Linked DNA regions of Tamandua tetradactyla. The protein of the gene in region 2 interacts with the protein of the main gene of each other region in a biochemical or structural test. Links are inferred from orthologs where the notes say so. Each region holds a gene or a part of one and is shown on either strand. Other genes may lie near its edges.

Region 1 (7,766 bases), on a different chromosome or scaffold from region 2:
ATCAATTTTTAATCGGTTCAGGGCTGATTCCTAACAATGAATTGCTGATCAAAGGTGTGTGTTTTAAACTTTGATACCTCCTTCCCAATCCTCTTCTACAAGGGTTGTGCCAATTTATACTCTCACAACAACTTTTGAGAGTGCCTGTTACCTCACACCCTTGCCAACAGAGTACATTATCGAATGTTCTGTTCTCTGCCAATCTGATAGGTGGTTTTAATTTGCATTTCTCTTAGCGAATTACAGGGAATCTAAGATATCATCCATTGTAAGATGCATCCTGATTCCAGAGATGTTTGAATGTAAAACTTAGATTCAATGAAATACAATACGTAGAATGAGATTGGGTGTGTCTTATCATGAGCTTAAAAGGCATTTGGATCTCTATCTCAAATCCCAGCTCTGCCACTTATAAACTGTGTTACTTTGGCAAGTTACTTATCCTGTTTGTGCCTCAGTTTCCTTATCTGTAAAATAGGGATAATAATGGTACCTACCTCATAGGATTGTTGTGAAGATAAAATGAATTAATATGTACAAAATACTATGTGCCTAGAACATAGTAAATGCTCAATAAATGTTTGCTATGATTATTGCTTTCTTTTGGGTTCATTTTTTTCTTGACAAAAATGCAAGAGCTCTTTATAAATGAAGGAAACTCATCCGTTTTGTCATTCTCCTGCCCTGTATCCCTAGTTTTTATTCCCTTTTTTCCTGACCATAAAAGTACAAAATTCAAACATTACAGAAATAAATTGTATAGGAAGAAGAAAACAGAAACAAACCAGATAGCACCATGACCCCTACCCATCCACTCCTAACCCTTTTAGGTAGCATATTTTAGCAACTACGTAAAGGATCTACCTTTATATAAAATATCTACACATCGCACATGAAAATCACAATTGTGCCTAATGCTGTAGTGCATGGCTCACGTGGGGTCCATGGGTCCATGTATGTGTCAAAACAGCACCAGCCAATGTGTCATGCCCACTGTCAACCACAGACTCCTCCCAGGGATTCTATGATCCATTTTCTGGTGGTCTGTGGCCCTTCCTGTCAACAATTTGTCAGCTTTACTTTCAATAGTTTTTATTATACAGGCTATAGCAGGAGGGTTTTTTTTTTCCCTTAACTATAAGTAAAAGTACAGCCATAACATTATAGGATGCAGTCCACACCTTGCTACCCAAAGTATGGTCTGTCAATCGGAGAGGCATCCCCTGGGGGATTGTTACAAATGCCGAATCCCAGTGCCATCCCTGGAAGTCGGACATCAGATTCCGCATGTGGCTGTTCAAAGCTGTATGTACCCCAGAAAAAAAATGTTCTTAAATTTAATCCATTCCTGTGTGTGAACCTGTTCTAAGTGAGGTTACTTAACTAAAGTGTGATCTGCCTCACTCAGGATGGGTTTAATCCTATCCTGGAGTCCTTTACACAAGAATGAAATACAGACAGAGAAAGCCACGGAAGCAAGAAGCTGAAATCAAGGAAACCTGAAGGAGAAGGGAGAGCCCAGGAGATGCCACCCTGTGCCTTGCCATGTGACAGAGAAGCCAAGGATTGCTAGCAGCCGGTCTTCAGGAAGAAAGCAACATCTTGAGGATGCCTTGATTTGAACATTTTTCCTGGCCTCAAATCTGAACAAACATATTTCCACTGTTTAACACAGCCGTTTCCTGTTTGCTTTAAGCAGCCTACGAAACTAAAACAGCATTTCAGCAAGATCTCTAGTAATCAGAGTTTGAGAAGCATTGCTTTAAAAATTAAGATATAGATCTTATAAACTATATTGAATATTATGTAGACTACAAATACAAATATGTTGAAAGGTTTTACATTTTGAATATACTTTTTCAAACGCCTTTCGTAGCCTGGGCGTTTTCCTACCTTTTTGAGATTAGAGTTTTTGAATGAACACCATGGAACAATCCAGGTAAATTTACATCTCTTGGCTGGACTCCTGCACCAGCTTCTTGAATCTGTTAAGTGTACTTTTTGCTGTCAGTAACAGAGACCTACCTCTAAGAACAGCTAAAGCAACAGTTGTTATTTCATGTCTTAAGAAGTCTGTAGGTAGGTAGTCTCAGGATTCCTTCAGTAGCTCATACCATCCAGGACCTAACTCTCGCCATCCTTCTGTGCTGGCATCTTTGGTGTGCTAGCTTTTTTGGCATTAGGCATGTGCATCAGCATCGTACCATGGCTGCCACAGCTCTGACCATCACAACCTCATATGGTCATTAGAAGGAAAAGGGACAAAAAGGCTCTCTCCCTAGCTAGTATTAAGGGGAGAGAAACTTTCTAAACATCCCCCTCCCTGGCTAATTGGCCAGAACAGGGACACAGGCACACCACTGGACAAATCACTGGCAAAAGGAAACAGCAGTCCCCATGACTGGCTTGACCAAATCATGATTCACACCTAGCATCACACCCGTTTCTGAGCAATACTAGGTTTGGCAGCCAACAGCGTCTGTCACACCTCCCCTCCAGAGTGCCCCATCCGTCTCCTTGAGACAGCCAGGCTGCACTTTCTAAAAATGCAAACCTGCCCATGTCCTGCTTAAAACCTCTGACGTCCACCTGCCTCACAGGGAAAACGGCAGGTAGGACAGGGTTAAGGGACATGAGTTCTAACCTGATTTTACCCCCTTTCTTTGTTGTGTGACCCTAGGAGAGGCATTTAACTCGCCCCAACCTCAGTTTCCTCGCCTGAAAAACGGAGACTAACGTCTTTATAGTGACTTTGCAACGGTCACTGAGGATAAAACAAAAGGAGGCTAAAAGGCGCTAATACTCACATAGCCCCTACTCCGTGCGGGCACTTCCTAAATCCCTCAGTTCTAGTGATGTCTCACTCATCCCAGCAACCCGATAAAGCAGGGCTCTTGCCCCAGCCGCTGGCGCCACGAGCGCTGACGCTGAGCGGGGCCGAGCGGAGCCGGGCGGGGCCGCGGGCGGATGCGGGGTTGGGCCGTGGGGGGTGCGGGGTGGGGCCGCAGGGGCCTGCCGCCGAGCGCAGGGGGAGGGCCGGGCGGGGTGCCGGCCGGGAGCAGCCGCGGGCGGGTGCGGGCCGGCCGGGCGGGGCACCACAACCCCCAGCGTGCGCCGGCCAGCACCCGGGGAGGCCTCTTCCGCGTGGGCTGGTCGCTACTCCAGGCAGGCTCGTGGGGTTCCGGGGCAACACTTCGCTTTACTGTCAGTTTACCGCACGAAAAGGCGGATACTATTGTCCCCCTTTTCAGAAGGCGGAACCGAAGTCAGGACAGGTAAGTCCCACAGCAGAGCGCGCGGCGGGGGAGGGCTGCCCCGCGGCCATTTCCCTCCAGAAGACGCTACCACGACCCAGAGTCCAGCGCAGGGATCTCCTCCAGGCAGCCCCGCGATACACGGATGAACGTCAGGGCGCATCACGCGTGGCCCTCAGAGAGCCGATTATAGCTTAGACCTGGCTAGAGAGACCAGGGCAGGCTCCCTGCGGCCGTGCGGCGCCCGCGTTCCTGAGACAGAGAGGGGACGGCACAGGCAGGGGCCCTAAGGAGGGAGGGGCACGTCGGGGTCCAGGTTTCGAGAAGCCCACAGCAGCTCTGGGATGCGGACAGGGCCGCCAGGGCCTCGCGGGCAGCTTGGCCGTCCAAGCTGATCCACGCCGGAGCTGGTGGACTCTGCAAGGTTCCAACAGGCCCCTTTCCTCCTGATGACTGTCCCTGCTGGACGATTAAGTCCATGGTTCCTCAGTTTGGAGGTCTGCATTTTACCCAGGAGAAACGGGGAGCCACTGAGGCTTTAGAAGGGTGTTTTGAGCAGATCTGTCATGGAGAACGGCCCGTGGGGGCAAGAGCGGAAGCCTCTGCGGCCATCAAATCAGAGACAAGGGCCGCCTGCCCCGAGTGGGAGAAGGGGATGGAGTTGAGAGACGCTTCCGAGGCATTCCTGTCAGAACAAGGCGGTGCAGGGGCGCGCCTGGCCAGCGCTTCCAGCTTCTCTGCCCCCCCCCCCCGTCCTTCGTCTCCCGGGTTTAAGATGCGGACCTTGAGCCCGTCCCTTCTCCCCTGTCAGTCCAGTCTTCAGATCCGGATAAGAGCCCATGGGACTCTTGGATTTAACTTGTGTCCAGGCCTTTGCTGTTTCCTCTACCCCTTCTCACCTGCAGGTTCGGATGAAACGCGACCGCCTCTGGGGGCCCTCCGTGACCACCCCTGCCGCCCCTTCTCTGATTTACTCTCCTTTCGATCATAGCCATGATAAGAAAAAATGTCCTTTCCTATTTAGTTGTCTCTCTGTGGATCTCCTCTGACTAGAACGTAAGCCTTTAAGAGCGGGAACTTACTTCTTCAGGGATGTTCGTCCACCCCGGTGCCTGGCACAGCGCCTGGTACACAGTAGGTGCTTACTAACTATGTCTGAAGGCGTGGATGGGCGACTGCTTTCCCTGCCCGCTCCATGCCCCTTCAAGCCGGCCGCGGCCAGCAGCGGCTGTGGGTGCGACCCTCCGCGCGCCTGGCGCTGTCACAGAACCCGGCGACGCGGCCGCTGGAGGCCCTGACAGACCGGGAAAGCCCGGGTGACCGGGGCTGGATTCTGACGCGTTCCCTCTCGAGTCCCAGCACCCTAGCCCTTCTCACCAAGCACCTCGGTGCCTCTCTCGCACCGCGCCCGGAGGGACTCCTCTCCTCGGGTAATTCCTCTCTCAAAACGGAAAGTAAAAACCGTCCCGACAACCCGGCGCAGGGTGCGCGGAGTGGGCCTCAGCGACGGCGTCTGCGCATGCGCGCGCGGTTGCGCATGCGGACCCGGGCCGGGCGGGGGGTGAAGAAGGGGCCGGCCTTCGAGCGACAGCGACGCAAGATGGCAGCCACCACGGGCTCGGGTGAGCGGGGGCGCCGGGCCGCAGCCGCCGGGGCGCGGGGTCGGGCCGGGAACCCGGGACTCACAAAGACCCTTGCAGCCAGGCCAGGGCACTTGCGCTGCCTCCGTCCTCTGGGCGCTGAGGCGGCAACCAGGGCGACCCTACGAGGGAGGCGGAGCAGGCGGTGGCCGGAAGCACGGGCGGGGGCCTGAGGGGCCTGTGGGCGGCGCGGCAAGGCCCAGAGGCTCCCCCGGGCGGCCTGTGGGTCCCTCTGGGAGGAAGGGCCGGGCCCAGCGGCGCTGCTGAGAAACCGGAGTAGGCCGGGGTGAGCCCTGAGGGCACAGCTGGGAAAGCTGGGACTGGCGGCGCCTTGGGAGAGCTCGAGGGGGGTTCTCTAGAGGATGAGCATGCACCCCCAACGCGGCAGGAGCGCCCGACTGGGTGCTGGGAGCCCGGGTGACGAGGGGGCCGTGGGATATTGGTTTTGAGGAGACATCAGAGAAGCCCATCAGGATGGATGGGAGGAGGAAACGGATCTTGAGGGGATGCCTGAGAGGACCGCCCCCATGGGTTAAGGGGCTCCAGTCGGTTTTGGGGATGGGGTTGGCTGAGGAAATCTGCGTGTTGATTAGAAAGGAGGAAGCCAGGGGTCGCTACTTTGGGAGGAGAATAAGGGTATCTCCACAGGATGAGTGAAGGGGAAAATGGAGTCAGATTCCAGAGGGATCTTGTCGGGGTGACTGATAGTGAAATGACCCCATCATTACCAGGCACTTATTCAAAGGGACAGATGGGTTCCTCCGAGTTAGATTTTAGAAGGCAAGCTCTGAATTGGGCAGTTCCTGGAAGCCTCCGATGTTGGGTGAGGGGAACAGGGTGGAAACTAGGGGTGTCTGTGGGAGGGGGAGGGGATCAAGTGAGGGAAGCCCCTCGCAACGGGTAAGAGTGGGAAGAGGTCAGGTTGCAGAGATGTTTCAGAGAAGAAAAATCTCCTCTTTGATTGGACGGTGGGAACATACCTTAGAAGTGCCTGTTTTGCAGAGATTGCCTGCACCTCACTCCCTTCCACCTCTGGATATTGGAGATACATATGTATGTTCAGATGGGAAGTTTCTCAATGGCTGGAGGTGGAAGTTGAGGGGGAGAAACAGATGAAATAGGAGCACCAGGGTAGTTGTTTGGATAAGAAAGGCTGAGCAAACCCCCACTTCTGAATGGACAGCAGAAACAGGGAGTTTTGGGGGGAGGCAGGGGCGGGGGGGGGGGGTCTCCTTCCAGTCTCTAGATAGGTCGAGGGAGACAACACTTATTTTGATACTCAGTTCCCCGTGATGGACCAGAGGCTCAAACTCCAAAAGGTGTGTTTCAGGATTAACACTCTACAGGTTGGACATCAGGGGGTGGGCTCAGCTGGCCTTTGCGGGGGGGTGGGGGGGGCAAGGCGGTGGGTGGAGATTGGCTAGGGGTGATGGCTGATGAAACCAGAGAATCAGATTGGGGAAGAGCAGAGTTTGGGGGAGACAGAGTGTTCCTCTTTTGGTAAGGACAGCAGGCTTGGCCAAGTTCTCCCAGACGGGATGAAGATGGGTAGCCCCTGATGGATGAGGCAGACCCGACCACACTGGAGAAGAGAGTTCGATGCCTGCAGGGACACCAACTTAAAATCCCCAGGCTGTTTAAGGCCACGGTGTTGGGTGAGGGTTGGTGACCAACGAGGAACTGAGTGTGGGCAGCCCGTATTTCTAGGGTGTTGCTCTTCTCTGAAGGTCATCAAGTACCCCAAGAAGCCATCCTATTGTGATTGTTAGGGTGAGGAATTGGAGGTCTGACAAAAGTGATCCACCACAGCCTGCCTTTGACACTCAAAGCAGTGGGTCTGTTTGGAGGATATAGAGACTTCACATTCCTTTCCTAGGCTTTTTTTTTTTTTTTAAGTTTGAACAGTGCTGAGTTAATTCATTTGCTGAGACACTGCCGCAGACACTCCCAGAAGATAGAGGCTGAGTCAGGCCAGTCTTCTGTGGGAAACTTCTCATCAGAAAAACACCCCTGCCAGGTTGCTAGGAACTAGGGGATGGTAGGGCTTATGGCAGCCAGCGTTATGGCGGTATTGCAGCTCAGCCTTCGAGACTGGCTTCCTACAATCCGGTTTAACAGCTTCTTAATTCTGACTTCTTGAGGCCCTACCAATTGAAGAGTGCTTCGTAAATGCTGTAAAGCATTCTCAGTGTCAAGCTAGTGGAATATAAGAGCATTTGGTGTGATTTAAGATAACAGAACAGACTTTAAGGTATCCTAAAATGGACTTTCCAAAACTCCTTTGTTTATTCAACAAGTATTTACTGAGGTCCTTTTATGTCCCATTGCAAGTAATGACAAGATGGATATGGGCCCTGTCCTTGAGTTGCTTCTGTTCTAGTGGGGGAGAAAGGCTTTAAGGGGGAAATAAATAAGATGGTTTCAGATAGCAGTGAGTGCTATAAAGGAGATTGTGTGGTATGATGGCAAACATCTGGAGAAGTTGTTAGGGAATGCTTCTCTGATAAGGTGGAGTTCGAACTAAGGCAGTGATTGAAGGAGTGAACCCTCAGACTGTGCCACAGGCAGGAGAGGAAGTGAGTGCAAAGCCTCTGTGGTAGGAATGAGCTTGGCATGTTGGAAGAACAGGATAAAAGTGTAATATACAAGGGAGGCTTGTTAAGGAGATGAGTTGGAGAGTATATGGCTTTGGATTTTATTGAATACAAGGGGAAGGCATTGAACAGTGCCTTTGAATAGCCATTGAACAATATGAAGCAGGCATTCAGTAAATATTTCGTGAATGAATGAATAAATGAGAGAATGGGAGTCCTAAAAAGCAGAGTTACAAGATCTGACCTGTGCCCTTAGGCAGAGAAAAGAGTACTAAGTG
Region 2 (7,254 bases):
TTAACTGCTACTGATTCACTCCACAGGAGCTGGCTCTGGGGTGCCCTTCCACTGGCATGGGCCCGGGTACTCGGAAGTCATCTATGGTCGTAAGGTCAGCGTGGGATGGGGGTGGTGGCGGGGACTGAGGTTGGGAGCTCACTGGCCACCAGAGCTCAGGAATGATTTCGCAACCTTCAACCCCAGCGCTGGTTCCTGTATCCCCCAGAGAAGACACCAGAGTTCCACCCCAACAAAACCACACTGGCCTGGCTCCAGGATGTGTATCCAGCCCTGGCGCCCTTGGAACGGCCCCTGGAGTGTACCATCCGCCCTGGCGAGGTCTGTGGTTGCCCTGAGGGGGCCAGGCCAGGCTGAGGCCCTGACTCATCCTGGCCCCTCCTCCTGTGTACCAGGTGCTGTATTTCCCTGATCGGTGGTGGCATGCCACCCTCAATCTTGACACCAGCGTCTTCATCTCTACTTTCCTTGGATAGCACCTGCCAAGCCTCCCACAGCCAGCATGTGCCCACGTAGTGCTCACAGACTTTATTCCAGGGCAGTGGCGGTGGTGGCCCCAGCCCACCCAACCCTTGCCTGCTGTTTTGGGCCTGAGGGAGATGGGGGAGGCTTACACCCTAGCTGAGCGCAAACAGTCCAGAGCCAACAGCAGAACGAATGGCGGAGGAGGCAGGTGAGGGACTGGGATCCAGACACCCAAACTATGTACAGAGACCGGGACCCGGGTCCTGGGCTAGGGTGCAGTGAGTGCGGGGAGTGGCCCTTGGTGGGTCCTCCCTCAGTAATCCTCCACCCAGCCGTTCTCGGAGACAAATGCATCGATGACTTCCTTCATGGCCAGGTTGGGGATGAGCTGTTCCTGGGTCAGGGGGCTCCGGGTCACAGGATCAAAGTGGCCCACACGCTGCAGTGACAAGAGGGCCCAAGGGTGCTCAGCTGGCCCCCCTGGGCAAACTGTTGGCTCCAACCCTGCTGCCCTGCCAGGCCTCACCTGCAGGTGCTCCTCGATGTCCTTGCGGTCATAGGTGATGCCACTTGGTGTGATGCATGGCTCCCGCATCAGCTCGAAGCTGATCTTGCCACACAGGTAGTCAGGGATATCACGCTTCTGTGGCACACGGGAGGGATCAGGGCCTGGGGAGGGGACACTGTTCCATCCCCTGCCACCTGCAGGCCCCAGGGCACAGAGCAGCCTCAAGCCTCACCTTTCTCTTCTCATCCACCTGCGAGAAGAGCTCGTCCATGTCTGCCAAGTATTTGTCCTGCAAATAAACACAAAGCTGTGCAATGGCCGGACACTGCAGCTCCCTTCCCCCTGTGCGGGCCTCATGGGCTGGTGGCACGCTCACGTGCTTGGCCTCGATGCAGGCCTGCTGGGCCCGGATGTGGCCATCATCCTCATCACCCTCGTGGCTCCGCCGACATTCTTCCAGTTCCCTGGGGGTCGACCAGGAACTAGTCAGAGATGGGTCTGGGCAAGAGAAGTGAGACCACAACTCCAGCCTCAGGGTTATAGCCCAGACCTTGTCTCCTTTGCTTTCTGCTCGCCAGCACTGATCTCCCATAAACATTTCTGTTTGTGACTCAGTTAACCTCAAAAGTGGGTGATGGGCTAGAGGAGGGCCTGCCCCACCCACCTCTCACGCTCAGCCATGATGAGGCGTGTCAGGTATGAGTGCAGCTCGTTCTCTTGATGGACGCGCCGCTCTTCCATGCTGTTCCAGCGCTTCTTCTTGGCAATGCGCAGAGCACTGGGGATATCATCCCCAAAGTTGAGCCGCTGCTCCTTGGCCAGATTGTACGCTGGGGGAGTGGAGGTGCAAGTCACCTTCTGGCCACCCACCCACCCAGTCCCAGACTGAGGCGCCCTTGCAGCCAGCCTGTTGGCCCACCTCGCTGCAAATTTGCAATGGCTTCGTCATAGCTCTCCATCTCCAGCTGGCACTGACCCAGGAAGAAGTGCGCCTTCACAGACTGCCCATCCAGCTCCAGAGCGCGACGGCAGTCAGCCAATGCCTGCTCAAGCTGCTGCATCTTCAGGTAGCACAGGGCCCGGTTGGTGTAATACACAGCCACCAGGGGGTTCCGTGTCTGGGGACCAAGAGCTGGGTCAACTGGCATGAGGGAGTGAGCTCAGTCTGGGACCTCTGCCCCAAAAAGCTGATGCCCTGCTGCCCCTGGTTCTGTCCCAGCTATAGGGTCCATAACTGGGTGAAAAAAGCTTGAAGCTTCTAAGCTGCCAAAGCTGTTGGGTCAGGACCTGCTGAGGGTGGAGTCTGGCCTGAAGCTTGACAGCCTATCCTGGTTTGACCCAAACTGATTTGGTAACTGAGTTTCCAAACCTATAGGGACCCACGGGGTAAGAGTTCCCAGCTTCCAAACCAGCCGGCCCCAGGTACCCTGAAGCCTAACCCACGAGCGCCGGTCTCGACAGCCCCGGCCTCTGCCCAATGACAACAAGAGGCTTACCTAGTGCTCGGGGCCCATGTCCCGCAGGTAGGAGCCGAGATCCTCGGCGGGACCGGCTGGGAGGCCGGCTAGGGGATGGTGCTGGATGCGGGGTGGAGCCGGGAGCCCCGCCCCTCGCCCCCATCCCGACCTCGATCCCGTCCGGGCCCCGGCGCACTCACGATGGCGCGGCCGTAGCAGGCCGCTGCCTCCGGGTACTTGCGGCCCACAAACAGCCGGTTGCCCTGCTCCTTGAGCTCCTGCGCGCTCGGGCTCTTCTCAGGGCTTCCGCCGCCCAGCCGCGCGCCGCTCTCCTTCTCCTCCTTGCCCTTCATGGCGCCGCGCGGCCCGGCCTGGGCTCCGCGCCCGGCCCGCCCTGCACCCGCCGCCCGAGGCCCCGCCGAAGCCCGGGATCCACTCGGGCCAGGTCTACGGAGCCGCCACCGGAACTTCCGGCCGCGCGGGGGCGGGGCCGCGCGTGCGCGACGCGCCTCGCGACGGGGAGGGGCTACGCGGTAGCTGCCGCCGAGGAGAACGTGGCGGCCGCGAGGGTCGCCTGAGGCCCCGAGGCTGAGGCGGCTGGGCTGCCCGACCCCCGCCTGACGCCACGAGTACTTTTTCTCGAGGCTCGTGGGCTGCACGCGTGCACGGAGCCGCGCTTCCGAGGCTCCTCGGAGTCGACCCCGCCTCCCATCGGAGCCCCGCCCCCCGATTGGACCCTCCCCCCGCGAAGCCCCGCCCCGGCGCGCAGACTCGCTGCGCGCCCTCCTGCGGGCGGGATGGGGTGGCAGGCGGGGCGCACCCCGCCGCCCGGCTCCCGTGATCCCGTCCAGGCATCCGGAGAATTCGCCGCGGTCCTCGAGGCCGGCCAACAAGCGCGTGACCCGAGGCGCACCGGAGCGGCCGGGGTCGAGGGAAAGGGCAGCGGGGGTGCAGCCTCGCCTCCCCAGTGCCCCACATGCGACCCCGGCCCGGCTGCCGCTCGTGCTCCATGGTGACCCCGAACTCGGCGCCGCCACCTTCCGGCCCTCGTGCCCGCCGGTCACGGAGGCCGTGGCGCGGCGAGGGCGAAGCGGCCGTGGGCAGCCCTCGTCACCGGCTGTTCGAGGGCCGAGGGCTTGGAGCAGGGGCGGCCTTCGCGGTGCCGGCGGAGGGGAGCAGGCGCGCCCGGGTTCCTTCTGCCCCTCCCAGCCGGAGCCTGGAAACCGCGGCCGCACCGCCCCGCTGCCCGCCCCCGGCTCCAGCCGCTTGGCGGTGGGCGCCGGACGAGTCCCCCAGCCCCGGCAGCGCCACCCGGTGCCGTGTAGAATATTTATTCGTTCTCCAAAAAGGCTCAGTCTGCAGGTCCCGGGGTGGGGCCGGGCCGGGGCCTCCTCGGGGGCCTCCCGCCCCAGGCTGCAGCGCTCGGCGGCCCGCCAGCAGGAGGGCACCGCTTCGGGGCGCACGCTCGGGGCGGTGGGCGCACTGCCCCCGCGCCTGCCCGGGGCCGCGACGTCAGGGCGGCGGGGGGACGTGGGCGCCTAGGAGGTCATAGGCGAAGACGTTCCAGAAAACGGCGAAGAGCAGGAAGGTGCCGTAGGCAAGCAGCACCACCCACCAGCCGCACTGGTCCCGCAGGCGCTCCTCGTAGCTGCGCAGGATGGTCAGCCCCATGCTCACGCCCACCACCGCGCCTGCCAGGTGCGCCATGAAGCTGGGCTGCGGGCCCGAGGCGGGCAGCGGCGGGGAGAAGCGCAGCCACACGGCCCGGCCCACCTCGGAACTCACTGCGGAGGCAAGCGCAGCGCTGGGGAGGCGCCCCGGGTGGGGGGCCCGCCCGCCCGGCAGCCCCCTACTCACTGCACACCAGCGCCAGCACCATCCTCAGCAGCTTGTAGGGACACCGCATGCCCGCCCAGTTCTGCCGGGGCAAGCATAGAGACGGCATCAGGCCCGGCCCCGCGGCCCCTTCCCGGCCCCCAGGCGCCCCCTTACCATGACAACGTTGGCCAGGTGCGCCGAGCAGAGCGCGTAGACACCGCCGGAGCCCCCTACCACGGGGGCCCGCATGTCGGTGATGGAGACGGTCAGGGAGCCTGCGGGCAGGAGAGGCCGTGAGGGCGGCCCGCGGGCGGGTGGGGTGCGCCCGTCCCCCCGCCTCACCTGCCAGCACGCCCGCCAGGTAGAGGAGGCTGATGCGCAGCAGCCCGTGCACCATCTCCAGCGGCACCCCGATCATCAGCTGCAGCAGCGCGTTGAAGCCCAGCTGCTCCAGCCTGGCCGCGCGGGGCAGAAGCACGCAAGGGTGTGAGGGGCGCGGCACTCTCGGTTGTCCCCGCCCCCCACCCCCGCTCGGCGGTGCCGACGCCCCCGCGGGTCCCACTCACCCGACGTGCATGAACATGTACGTGAGAAAGCGCCAGGCGCGCGCGCGGTGCCCGGGGTGGTACACGAGGGGGCTCTTCATGTACTCGGGGTGGTAGGTCTGCAGCACCCACTTGTTGAGGCGGGCCCCGTAGCACAGAAACACGACAATCTGGGGTGCGGGCCCGAAGGTTAGGGCATGCCGGGTGCGGGCAGCTCGCGGCCTAGGGGCGCGGCTCACCTGGGCGAGCGTGACAGAGGCCATGAACACGGGGGGCGGGCAGCTGCGGTGCCGGTAGAAGTACCAGCGGCGGTCCACCTCGCAGGGCAGGATCTCGTAGGCCACGTAGCGCACGAAGCGTTTGTAGACGCCCAGGCCCGGCTCGTCCAGCAGCCCATCCCGGGGCAGGGCCCGCTGCCCGTTGGCCATGGCGCGCTTGAAGCTGCTGGAGCGCTTGCTGCTGATCTGGGGCGCGGGGCCTGGGCGTGGGCCATGGTGCCCCTCCCGTAGCACCTCCCTGCCCAGAAGACCTCCCCAGCAGGAAGGGTGGGGAGGAAGGCACCCCTGCCCACCCCCGCAGCCCCCGCTGCCCGCCCCGCCTGGCACTGACCAGATCCACCAGCTCCTGGTAGCACACCTGGCCCTGCTCGTTGCTCTGGGCCAGGGCCACCAGCATGTCCAGTTTGGAGGGGTCCAGGGGCAGCTCATGGCTGTGCACCAGGCCAGCGAAGGTATCAGCACCAATGAAGCCTGTGTTCTCGGGGTCCAGTTGCTGGAGGGAGAGGGGTGACCAAGGCCTGAGGGCAGCCCGGCCCCCCACACCACAGGGGTGGGCCAGGTTCCGAGCAGTCCTCGGGCTCGGGGGGCTCCAGGGACTGCCTGCCTCAGCTCCACCCTGTCTCGGGAGGGGTGGGTCTCCCACTCATCCTCTTCTGGGGGCGCAAACGCAGGGGCCAAGGTCGCGCGGGAAGGGGACGGCGGGGTGCAGGGGCTGGGGGCTTGACGCTCTCGGGGGAGTCCCGCCGCAGCCGCCGGGAGGGCCTCGCGGGGTGGGCGTCGCCCCTGCCCCCTTTCCCACGCACCTGCTCCTGGATGAGCTGCAGCAGCGAGCTCCTGTCCATAGAGCCGGGCCGGGGCGGGCGGCCGCGGGCCGGGCCGGACTGCTCTGCGGTCTCCGCTCCGCCCCGGCCGGCCCGCTCCGCCTGCTCAGCTCGGCGCCGCCGCGCTGGGGGCCGCGTCACGGAGCCACCGCCCCGCCCGCTCCGTGCTGCACACGCCGCCCGCCGGCGCGCAGAGGCACCGCCCCGCATGCACGCGGCTCCCGCGCGCCGCCCGCCCCACCGCGGAGCCGGGTTGCAGCTTCGCCTCCCGCATTCAGCGGCTGAGATTGACTCAGGTTGCTGCGCCCTAGTCTCCTCCCGTGCTGCACCTGCCCAGTGTCCATCCTCCCCATCTCAGGGAGCCCCAGCCTCGGAGTGCAGTCATCTTCAGCAGGCAGCCTTCCTGGCCACCACTCCTCAGGCATCCGCGCTTCCCACTCCCTCTGGCTCATTTGCTCACTGGCTAGACCAGCCCCTGCTGGGTACCCCCACCCTATGCCTGGGAAGGCCACTGCTGCCACCCACGCGGGCCAGGGGAGGGGAGGCCGCGGGGCCCTGCTCAGCCAGCCCAGCCTGCCCCATCGTGGGCTCAGTAGCGTCCTTGCCACAGGTGCTGGACGGCCAACCTGCTGAGCCCCAGGGAACACCAGGGCCTGGCCCAGGGTTCTTAGGCAGGTCTGGGCCAGCAGGACAGAGTCCCAGGTAGGCAGGGCTGCAGCCAGAACTTCTGAAGGCCAGGCGGACAGACCCGGGTAGTAGTGTGACAGAGACCAAGGGGATGGGCAGCCATAGCAACCCCTCCACAGGCCAGTCGGAGCTCAGGGCTCACTCCCACTGGGGCCACTGCTCCAGGCTGCTGAGCCCTGGGCAGGAACATCAGGCCAGATGCAGCTTCCTGCTCACCCAGAAGCAGGCCCAGGGAGGCCAGCAGTGCAAGGGTCACAGTCAAGACCCTCCAGGACCAGCCCTGAGTGGCCCCACACGGCAGCTGCCCTCCCCAGCGGGTCACAGCACTTGGCTGGCTCAGGGGTCTGCCCAGCACAGGAGGGCACGGACAGGGCCAAGGAAGGGCCCTGGGGTGCAGAGGCAGCCCTGGCTCCTCCCCCTCCCTCTGCCGTGGGGTTCTGGGTGCCAGCCCCCAAGCACCGGGGCCAGCAGATAATGGCACTTGGCTTGGGCCAGGAACACCCAACGGGGCTGCTCTGCGAAGCTGATGGGCCCCCCTACCCTAAGCCAGCCCTCCCCTCAGCCAGGGGATTGTGACTGTCCTGTAGGAGGAATGGACAGCCCCTGGCCAGGAACCAGCTTGACCAATACTGATGGTGCCAGCATGAACAGAACGGCCCCATGTCCCAGCCATCG

Evidence for each region.
Region 1: the proteins of STUB1 (region 2) and UBE2V1 form a complex in vitro, tested with the Homo sapiens proteins (4 studies listed by BioGRID). The link is inferred for Tamandua tetradactyla from reciprocal best matches to the Homo sapiens genes STUB1 and UBE2V1.

Annotation. Positions count from the first base shown.
Region 1 is NC_135327.1:2,664,799-2,672,564, forward strand, and holds the start of UBE2V1 (ubiquitin-conjugating enzyme E2 variant 1), read left to right. Parts: upstream 1-4,765; 5' UTR 4,766-4,773; coding exon 4,774-4,876; intron 4,877-5,074; exon of another isoform or gene 5,075-5,180; intron 5,181-7,766. UniProt on the Homo sapiens protein: Has no ubiquitin ligase activity on its own. The UBE2V1-UBE2N heterodimer catalyzes the synthesis of non-canonical poly-ubiquitin chains that are linked through Lys-63.
Region 2 is NC_135349.1:56,698,740-56,705,993, forward strand, and holds STUB1 (E3 ubiquitin-protein ligase CHIP), read right to left. Parts: upstream 2,878-7,254; 5' UTR 2,784-2,877; coding exon 2,631-2,783; intron 2,092-2,630; coding exon 1,893-2,091; intron 1,804-1,892; coding exon 1,638-1,803; intron 1,438-1,637; coding exon 1,350-1,437; intron 1,291-1,349; exon of another isoform or gene 1,263-1,290; coding exon 1,206-1,262; exon of another isoform or gene 1,109-1,205; coding exon 779-1,108; 3' UTR 514-778; downstream 1-513. Other genes in the region: JMJD8 (jmjC domain-containing protein 8), read left to right, coding at 27-94, 187-321, 396-476; RHBDL1 (rhomboid-related protein 1), read right to left, coding at 3,943-4,214, 4,288-4,348, 4,423-4,523, 4,591-4,703, 4,815-4,963, 5,033-5,257, 5,403-5,564, 5,875-5,913. UniProt on the Homo sapiens protein: E3 ubiquitin-protein ligase which targets misfolded chaperone substrates towards proteasomal degradation.